2 linked regions of the Drosophila melanogaster genome follow. The gene in region 2 interacts genetically with the main gene of each other region. Each region holds a gene or a part of one and is shown on either strand. Other genes may lie near its edges. The genes, in order: E(Pc) and Tip60.

Region 1 (4,958 bases), on a different chromosome or scaffold from region 2:
ATAAACAAAATGTTGTATATGGGAAAATTCCTGATTAAGGATATCATGCATAAAAAACCTGCATTTAAATCGGGCAGGAATTGAATTTATATGATACAGAGAAAGAAAATGTTTGCAAGTTCTGTGTCCAGTAATTGCAGTGTAGCCCGATTAGCCAGCATTTAAAAATTTCTCAACCGACTTTAGGCAAACTTCACTCGATTCTTACCGCAGCTTGAGCATCTTTTCGTAGGAGGCCTCATCGTTCTTTCGATTTTTGCGGGTTTGCATTTTCTCGGTGCGACGACGAAAAGCCAAGTACGGATTGTTGGAGCTGGCGCCTGGTCGACTCTCAGTTTTCACAGTGAGGATCAGCGGGTGTTGCTAGAGAATGAATAAGATAGTTGATTTAGTATATTGCCGTAGCCAATAGCCAAGCTAAGTGTTTATTACCATCTTGAGGCGTTTGTTCAGCCAGTAATCGTAGACGGATATGCTGGTCTCGTCGTCCTGGTTAAGCAGCGACTTGGCCTCGTTCAGCGTGACCACCGTTTGGCCGGAGCTCTTTTCTAGCCGGTCCATCATCTGCTCGAACTTGAGTTCGGTAAGCTCCAGGCGCTGCTGCTGACTGAGCCAGTCCTCATCGGCACTGTCCATGTCGTAGTCAGGGACCTCGGTATCCAGCCCAAGAGCTGAGAGTTAAACAATTGTAAAAAATTAGTCCAAGAATAATACGAAACTACATAAGTTATTGCATTTCATTCAATATTGATATGGAATTTAAAAATAATGTTCTAAGCCCGAAACGAAACGAATTATTCTGCTCTAGTAGTTGCTTTTTGCTTACGTTGCATGTGGATCATTTGGCGGGGCATTTTGTAGTCCGGCGGATAGTAGGCATCGTAGAAGGGCTGATCCGTCTGCAGCACCTCGGGCGTGGGGATGATCAGACCCGTGCATATCGCTCGCTGCAAGTGGTGCTCCTACAAGGGATAAGGGACAAAATTAGTTTCATCCAAAATAAAGGATCACTGAGAAACTTCCTACCGACTCCTCCTCCTTCTCCATGCCACTGGGCATTTGAGGCACTGCCCGGTTGATGGCTGAGTACTCGGGGAGGTCGGGCAGCTCCTCCGCCAAGTAGATGGGCATCTGCTTGGACGGATCCAAATGGCGGGCTCTGAACGACAGCTTGGACATCTTGCTGGCTTTTGTTTGGGTTTTGGTTGTGGGTGGTTTTGGGTTGGGTTGTTGTGGTGTGTGGAACGTTTCTATTTGCTGTTGCTGTGGCTGATTTGAGAGTTTGCCTAGTGGAATCGACTGCTTAGGTGGCTATGGATGCTAAGGAGGCTACGATTGCTCCGGCGGTCCAACTGCAGTGGGCAGGACTAGTGCTGCAACTGCTAATTTGGATTCTGGAGGATCTACTCCGATTCGTGGTCGGCGTTGTGTTGGCTCCTCTACTCGATGTCGAGGGGGCTGTATACGTTAGCTGGAGATGGGGCTTGCTGGGGTAGAAAAGGTGCTGCTGCTTCTGATCCTGTTCCTGTTCCTGACACCGATCCCGATCGTGAGCACCGGGGCTGCGGTGGCTGTGGCTGCTCTGCCAGCTGGTTAACGCAGCCCCTGTGCCCGTTGCCCTGGCCGAAGACGTAGTGCTACTGCTAGTGAGGATTGGGTGTGGATTGGCGACTATGTAGGGCGTGTCCTCCTCCTCCCCCTGGACACTCTCCCGGCGGTCCGCCTGCCGCTCGTCCTCCTCCTCCGCCTCCCTCTCCTGTCGTCCTCCTTGATCCTCGGGAGCTCTGGCTGACAGCGCCGACAGCAGGACAATGGCCAAGGAAACGATCTGGTGGCAATTACGACGACAACGCAGTGGTAGCAACAACAGTGACAGTGAATGCAGCAAATGTGTCGACGACATTTTTCACGTTGAAATCGAAGGTTCTGTGTGAATTGGCATAATTACGTTCATCAAATTTGCACATTTCAGTTCATCATCGTTTTAGGTTAAATCAATATTGTGTTCTTCTTTCTTTTGCTTATTTGTTGACTTCCTCTTCTTGTTATTATTTATTATTATTTCGCCTTGGCTGTCGTGTTATCGGTTGGCTGATAAAAAATCTAGAATTGATAACAACAACAAAAACTAGTAAGTAAACAACTCTCACACACACGCATACATTGATATGTGAGGGCGGCGCGCGCGGGAAAAAACTCACAAATCCACATACATTTGTATATTTCTTTGCTTTTGCATTAAATTAATATTAACACGCACAAAAACACGATCCGCATGAGTCATGATTTTTTTTTTTTATTTAAATGCGATAAAATGCAAAATCATAGAAAGCCGAGACGAAGAAAAAGGCGGCATAAACAAACACACGCGCGCAAACACACATCTCAAACAAACGCGGCGAATTTAATACTGCCTTTTCCGCGAGATATTTCACTTTGCAGAGCCCTGTTAGCTAACATTTTGTTTGTACAGAACTCTGTTAAGTGAGAAAAAAAAACGCAATCAAACTCCGCCTCATGTGGGTTTTGTTTTTTGCTTTTATCTAGTTAATTAGTAATCAGCCATCGAGTGCGTATGTTTTTCTGGGCCAGCGCTAATTTTTTACACACTTTACCGCACTTTTCATGCATCAGCGAACGCAATCTGGTTGATAAATCGCCCGAAAAATTTACACATATAAACCCGATTTTGCGTATAGCGTGGTTTCGCTGGAAAGCAATAATGGCGGCCAGAGAGCCGAACACCGACGACGCCGCGGACAGCGGGGCCGCGATTTATTTGTGCCGTCGGCGGCGATAACGATAAGCGGTCGTCGATTTAATTGCCGCAATTTCACTGCAGGGCCCTGTCATATATGGGCAAAAATTAAATATTTACTGCTAGAATTTTTAAATTGCTCTAACATGACGTTTTCCTTTCAAAATATATATTTCAAAACCGCTACGGTTATCGATTAATCGCCGTTGGCAGCGCTAAATAGCCGGCCTCTTATTCCGATGACACTCCGAACAGTTTGTCAGCGCCCCCTGGCGAGCTCTTCGAGCACTATGCCCAACGCTGCATGATTTTTTTTTCACAAACAAAAAAATCGATTAAGATTTTTTCACGCACTTTTTTCACACTCTTTGCCGGGCGTTGGGGCCTCTTATATGATTAAATGATGTGGTTTTCAGCGTATTTACCACTGCCGCACCGTTTACAGCTAAATTCAAGCAATTGGCTTAGCGCAAACGCGTATAATCGTTCTTCAGCAGCGGGACACGTTTTTACTTATGGGCGGCCATTACGAATGAAAATTCGGAGTTGTCGGAGTCGAACGAAATCGTCGCCACAGTGGCGAAATTATTTTGGCTAGGCCTCCAGGCGAAATAGTTAACCGTTTTGAGTGCGGTTTTCATCTAAATCTGTGGAATTTTGTGAGGGGTCGCATGCATACATTTGGATAGCCGGGGCCAAGCTGCATTTATTTATTTTGTTGTTAATTTACGCAGCCCCATTCACCAGGTGCCCAGCTAGTGGTGTGCAAATAATTCGGAGTGCTCATGCGCTAGTGCATTTCGTGCGAGCTATCGGAAACACTCACAATTGCGGCATCGGCAAAGATGTGCTAACGCATGGGCTTTAACATTCGAAATTTATAAAAAATTGTTAATTCAAATTTGTATTTACAACTTGTTTGCTGAACAGTCGACATTATAGATATAGTTATTAAATGAGTAAAACAATTTTTGTTTTATTTTGTGTGCTGGATAGCTTAGAATTTTATTTGGATTCTTTAAATTAAACTTGTGCATACAGCATACAAATAATAATAACTCCACTTTGTAACTTCCTTTAAATGCTTTTGTTTTATTATAATCTCTTACAAGGCTTTTCGTACTCGCTGTTTTGCTTAACTTTGTTTATTTGCTGGTTACAATGTCTTGATAGTTTCAAATGTGCTCGTTGACTTAAAGTTTGCTCAATTTATATTCGAGAATACGATTAAAATTTACTCGCTAGTCCTTAACAATTTGTGGGGGTAATGCTGATTTGGCCAAGCGATTTTGAATGGTAACTTATGTCGGGCATTTGTCCAGCAAAGCGAGTTGGAAGCACCTGCTTAGTAAAAAGAAAGCCTCAAAGCCTTATGCTTGAAAAGCCCCAAGCAGAAGAAGCTCGATTTGCCAAAATCCCGCGCCGATCCTCCAACGTTATTTCAGCTGCTTTCGTATCCTTAGTTCTTTGGCTTCTCATTCGGTTCGTTCGATCGTATTATGTAATCATTTTTGGGCAATGGCCGCACGGACGTTCACAATTACAGTTGGGGCGGCGACCGCCTGTGGCCATTAGCGATTTATATTGGGTAATACTCGCCGGTGACAGGCGGCGCCCGATATTTTCATCTCTACCCTCGACGTTTCAGATGCTCGGCAATGCACGCGCGCCTGCCGCCCACAAAGTGCAGGAATTCATTTTCGGTGAAAATAAATACACAAATAAAATAGTATTTGGTGGCACTTGTGGAGCGGCTGTCGCGGCATTGCGACCACTGTGGCATGGATTGCGATGGCGTACATGATGAAAAATATAGTCAGACAGTGGTGTCGTATGTGAAAAAGCACCATTTTCGTGGGTGGCTGTGGGTGGTGGGCGTGGCGCAGCTGCGAGAGAGCGAAGGCATATCTCTCTGTCGCGGCTGCGCAACCGTGTTGGTGGTTGAAGAGAGTGGCGTGCGCAGGGAGAGGGCTCTTCTTCTTCAGCATATTACAGAATTAAATGAAAATAAGAAAATATTTTCAAGCCCCTTTGAGAGAATCCTGCGTACGCCACTGGTGGAATTTGTGGCGCGTGCGCCACTTGGTGTGGTGAGTTGGGGTGAGTGGGTGAAATGGCGAATTGAGGTGAGTGGCGGGAAGCACTATTTAGATGTGTGCGTGGTGAGCTGAGGTGTAAAGTCAATTTAAAATCTGAATTA
Region 2 (5,319 bases):
ACTGTCAATATTTATTTTTTTTTTAATAAAATTCGGTTTTCGATAAAACAGTGTTTGTGAGTGAGTAATCGGCTCACTTAAAGTTTTTTCCAAAGGTCATGTTTTAAGGGGATTTCGGCATTTTCATTTTCGACAACTTTAATGGACCGCAAGCGTAAGAATCTATTTTAGTTTATAGCTTAGTGTGCAAATAAACAATATTTATATCTAATTTATGTATACCTTGGTTTTGGTGGTAACGTAAAGATCGGACAACTTGCTGTCCAATACTGGAATTCCACCCAAAATCGAAATTAGTTTCAAATTTTACGTTTACTTAGTTGTTTCTCAACTTAGTCGCCCTGGTAGAGCTCTATTCAAGCCTGGCCATGCATAAGATATGGAGTCCAAACACCATAGAGCTTTGGAGCCTCCAGAACGTACACAAATGTGAAATTTTGCGAGTAACAAACATAACTATACCTTTTTCTTAATAAAACAATATCTTAACTCGGTTTCTGCTTAACATGCACTATATTTCCACCTTAAGATGCAACTCAGCCAGAGCGCACTTACCTTTTTCTTCTTCTGTCGCTTGCCGACATTCTGATCGTCCTGGGTCTTGCCCTTGGCAGTGGCTCCGTACTGGAGTACCCTGCGGTTTGGTCGCGACAGTTCAGCGCTGGGCGAATCCTTTAGCATGGCAAAGACCTGCGAGAAGGACGTATCTCCTGCTGCTGCTTCTGCTGCGGATCCTTTGGCAGCGTCTGCCGTGGCTGCGTGGTTACCAGAGCTATGGCTATTACTAGGGGATGATGACTTCTTGGGGTCATTGCCTCTGCTGCTACTGCCGCTGGTGGCTACATGGTTGGCAGCCACTGGTGCCGCTCCTTGGCTGTCCTCGTCTTTGGCCCCCTGGTTCCTACAGGCCTCGTCAAGCTGCGCGTCTGCCTTCGCCACATGGTCTGACATCATGGTCATAAGCTGCTCCTGTGGGAACGGCGTCGGCGTTGTTTTGGTGACGGTGGTCGTCGTGGTGCTCTCGCTCATCGTGCCAGCGGCAATCGAGACGATGGGCGTGTCCGGTATGATCGTTGGCAGTTTGGCAGCTGCTCCACCAGATGCCACACGATCCGCCGGTGTGTCCGATGATGACGGCGTTTGTTCATTGTTCATCTTCTTTCGTTTGGTGGCATGCAACGAAGGAGAAAAACAAATGCCATTCGAATTCCTCGAATCTGTTAGGGCGTGTGAGAAGAGGGGAATGTTTGTTTTAGTAAACGGGTATATCTCGCATTCCCATTAACTGCTTACAAACTGTTTCTTCTCTTCGCGATGTTTCTAGGTAGCCCAGCTGCCCAGCCGCCGTGTGGTTGCCACCGCGACTGCAAGTGCTCTGCAGGCTGTTCCGCCGATTCCTAACGATTCCTCTCGACTTCCAGACGGTTTGAGGCACAGGGGAGCCCACCTATTGCGCATCAGTTTGGACTCCTGCTGCACTTGACAGGCCTGTCGTCAGTAGCTCTCCTCCGGCTCAAACCTTTGCTCGCGGCATTTACGTAGGTTCCTGGGCACGGGGATGCGGATTGCTCGCAAACAGACCGGAATACGGAAATGTGTGCGCACGGATCTGCAATTGATTGGGAAATGGGGATGAAGTTGAGACTAAAACTGAAACTGAGACATTGGACCACTGACTGGGTGTTTTGCAGCATTTGTTGTTGTTCTGGTCATGCGGACGAGCGACAAGGGGCGGTGGGTGGTAGCAGGTGCGTCTGTTTAGTCTTTGGCGACCCCTTGCGGCCCACTGACTTCGAATTTCTTTAAAAAGCACTGGTCTCTTTCCATATTCATTTTTTTTATTTTTTTTTTTTTTTGGCTAAAAAGCAGTGTTGCTAACTACGCTGCGTGCCAGGGTTGACAAATGCTGTTTGTTGTTTGTAGGGGCAAGCCGTTGAGATTGCTAAATCGGCGTTTGCTCTAGGCTTGCATCTTACTAATCAACACGAGATTGCCTGCCCGTTTTGCAACTAATTAGTGGGATATGCCCATCGAGTTGGCAGCCCTGCGGCTGTTGTCAGTGGCAACACTATCGCAAAACACGTCATTTTGACACAGCTTTTTCACCAATTTCCCGCTCAGCTCGTCAGCATTGGGGCACTGCGGCACAGTTGCCCAGCAGTTGTGGTCACAATTACCCAGTAACTGAAGTTTTCCGCGGATCACAGTAGTCATTTATTGATAAATACGCCAGTCGATGACAGCTGTATAACTTTCTGCGCACTCACACGAGCGCACACGAATGTACGCACCCACACACACGCACACAAATTTACGCCTGTGTACATTTCTCTGACCTTCTCAGCGTTTTTATTTTTTGGTTTGGCAACTGAAAAGAAGGGAGCACATAACTGCGCACTCAAGTTCTAGCAACTGCAATTGAGTCGAACGGTTGTGCTTAATATGTTACAGTTGTTTGTAAGCGGGCGAAATTGTTTAATTGCACAGTAGGCACATGAGAAAAAATACCGAACCCGAATTGAAAAACTCTCTGGAATTGTTGTTGTGTTGTGCAGCACTTTGAAAAGGCGACGCGACGCTGCGCAGCACTGCCCATGTCATCAACATTTTTAAACCGCTGATTCACTGTGGCGGTAATCGATTGGTCGATAGTTATTTACGTTTCGCTATCTGGCAATACTGCTGTTTTAGGAAAAAAAAAACGCGTAAAATATAAACAAATGAAAATTAACCACAAATATGAGTTCGACGACGATGTGGCCTCCATATGCGAGTCAACGGTGGGTTCCGCTACGCCTTGGCGTGTTTTGGGTGTTCATTCTAATGGTTTTAACCGCAAACTTGCAGGCCGCCCTAACCGAGGGATGTCGTTTACCCGTCAGGATGCACAAAACGGACGACTGGCCACTAGCGGAGATTGTGAGCATCAAGGAGTTGGATGGGCGCCGGCAGTTTTACGTGCACTATGTGGACTGTGAGTACCAAGTCGTCCAGTGGGAGCATATTTAGTATAACTGCCAATCCGCAGTCAACAAGCGCTTGGACGAGTGGGTCAACGAGGAGGATCTGTACACGCGAAAGGTGCAATTTCCGCGGAGAGACGGCTCACAAACAGGCACCAGCACTGGAGTGACCACGCCACAGCGCCACCATTCCCTAGCGGGCAGCGTTTCTCGGCCTACATCACCGCAACACCCTGGTTCCGGGGCTCTGGCAGCCATCCCCCAGACTCCTACTGGTGCATCAGGCAGTGTTCCTCCCCCTGCTGGCATTCCAAACTCTGTGGCTCCACCCGGAACACCAAGCAGTGGGGGAGAGCTTGTGAATGGCAACAATCTGGCCGCAGCCCTTCAGAAACGCATCAATCGCAAGCGAAAAAACCACGGAGGCTCGGCCCATGGACACCACAGTCTGACCAGTCAACAGCAGCAGTCACATCCGCATCCTACAACTCCGCAGACACCCACGGCTACGCCCGTGCATGTGACCGGCGACGGTTTAATAAGCGGAGCGGCCAATGATGATGGTGATGGATCGCAGGATGGCAAGACGCCCACGCCGAGGCAATCAGGCAGCATGGTTACGCACCAGGACGACGTGGTCACCCGCATGAAGAACGTGGAGATGATCGAGCTGGGCAGGCATCGCATTAAGCCCTGGTATTTCTCACCCTATCCGCAAGAGCTGTGTCAAATGCCCTGCATCTACATCTGCGAGTTCTGCCTGAAGTACAGGAAGAGCAGGAAGTGCCTGGAGAGGCACCTGTCCAAGTGCAATCTTAGGCATCCACCGGGAAACGAGATCTATCGCAAACATACAATTTCCTTCTTTGAAATCGATGGACGCAAAAACAAGGTGTATGCCCAGAACTTGTGCCTGCTTGCCAAACTCTTTCTCGACCACAAGACACTCTACTATGATACCGATCCGTTTCTCTTCTACGTAATGACAGAGTTCGACTCGCGCGGCTTCCACATAGTAGGGTACTTCTCCAAGGAGAAGGAGAGCACAGAGGACTACAACGTGGCCTGCATTCTCACAATGCCTCCGTATCAGCGCAAGGGCTACGGCAAGCTGCTCATTGAGTTCAGCTACGAGTTGTCCAAGTTCGAGGGCAAGACGGGATCGCCGGAGAAACCATTGTCTGATCTGGGTTTGCTGTCCTATCGATCGTACTGGGCGCAAACCATACTGGAGATCTTTATCAGCCAAAACCCGAGCACGGACGGCGAAAAGCCCACTATAACTATAAAGTATGGCTAGTTCTAAGCTTAAAGTAATACAATTTTCAATCCACAGAGATTGTGCTTCATTGCCGAAACATAGATTAATCATGCTCCCAAAATTTTTCTTCACAGCGACATCTGCGAATGCACATCCATCAAAAAAGAGGACGTGATCTCAACGCTGCAGAACCTGAACCTGATCAACTACTACAAGGGCCAGTACATCGTGTGCATCAACCGGGTTATCATCGAGCAACACCGGCGAGCAATGGACAAGCGCAAGATCCGCATCGACTCGAAATGCCTGCACTGGACACCCAAAGACTGGTCCAAGCGCTCCAAATGGTAATCTCCTCATCTTCTCCGTATAAATAACTGAGTTTAAACAGCTTTGAATCCGTTTTTTTTTGTTTTTAGATTTCCGCTACCAATATTCTTCATCGGATGATCCTGGCTTCGTTGTAGCTTGTAGTTTTCATTTACAGTTTCCGTTTTTAATGTTATAAACTAGTTTATATCATACAATATTATATATACTTTTGAGACGACCGGCTAGTTGTTTGTTTCCCGCGGTGGGAGAAGATCCTCCACAAGGCGGTCCATTGCCTGTATCATGCCCATCTCCATACCATTCTCCAATCCATCGACGGCGGTACGCAAACTTCTTAGAGCTTCTTGGTTCTGGGCGAACTCCCGTTGTTGCCGGCATAGATTTAGGCGCGGTTTGTGGGTGGTGTTCAGATGTTCCAGGCACTGCTTCACATCGTTGGAGTCCAGAATGGCGGGACGCAGATCACTGCCCAGTTTGGATCGCAAACTAGCGATATCCTTGGCCGCCTGGTCGACTTGATTCACATCAGATACACGATGGGCATCCACGGCCGCCTGCAGGGCTCCGCACTTCAGGAGCCTCGCCAGCCGCCCAAAGTCCCGCTGATACTCACACTTGGCGTCCAGCCAAATGCGTACTTGCTCCTCCACCTGGCGCTTTACATTGCGGCTGTCTTCCTGAAAACGGCGCATCGCCTCCAGGTGCAGCAGGTATTGGATGTCGTCCATGGTGCCCTCAGTTGTCAATGATGGCGGTGTGGTC

What was found.
Region 1: of Tip60 (region 2) and E(Pc), changing one enhances a phenotype caused by changing the other (phenotypic enhancement), as found in Drosophila melanogaster (one study listed by BioGRID).

What each region holds. Positions count from the first base shown.
Region 1 is NT_033778.4:11,450,538-11,455,495, reverse strand, and holds the start of E(Pc) (enhancer of polycomb), read right to left. Parts: upstream 3,308-4,958; 5' UTR 3,113-3,307; intron 2,728-3,112; exon of another isoform or gene 2,611-2,727; intron 2,104-2,610; 5' UTR 1,180-2,103; coding exon 1,027-1,179; intron 963-1,026; coding exon 827-962; intron 672-826; coding exon 433-671; intron 364-432; coding exon 209-363; intron 1-208.
Region 2 is NC_004354.4:4,114,254-4,119,572, reverse strand, and holds Tip60 (Tat interactive protein 60kDa), read left to right. Parts: upstream 1-2,085; 5' UTR 2,086-2,720; coding exon 2,721-2,780; intron 2,781-2,847; coding exon 2,848-2,974; intron 2,975-3,028; coding exon 3,029-4,253; coding exon of another isoform or gene 4,254-4,263; exon of another isoform or gene 4,264-4,276; intron 4,277-4,358; coding exon 4,359-4,571; intron 4,572-4,643; coding exon 4,644-4,644; 3' UTR 4,645-4,773; downstream 4,774-5,319. Other genes in the region: tyf (twenty-four), read right to left, coding at 556-1,155; dgt4 (dim gamma-tubulin 4), read right to left, coding at 4,779-5,319.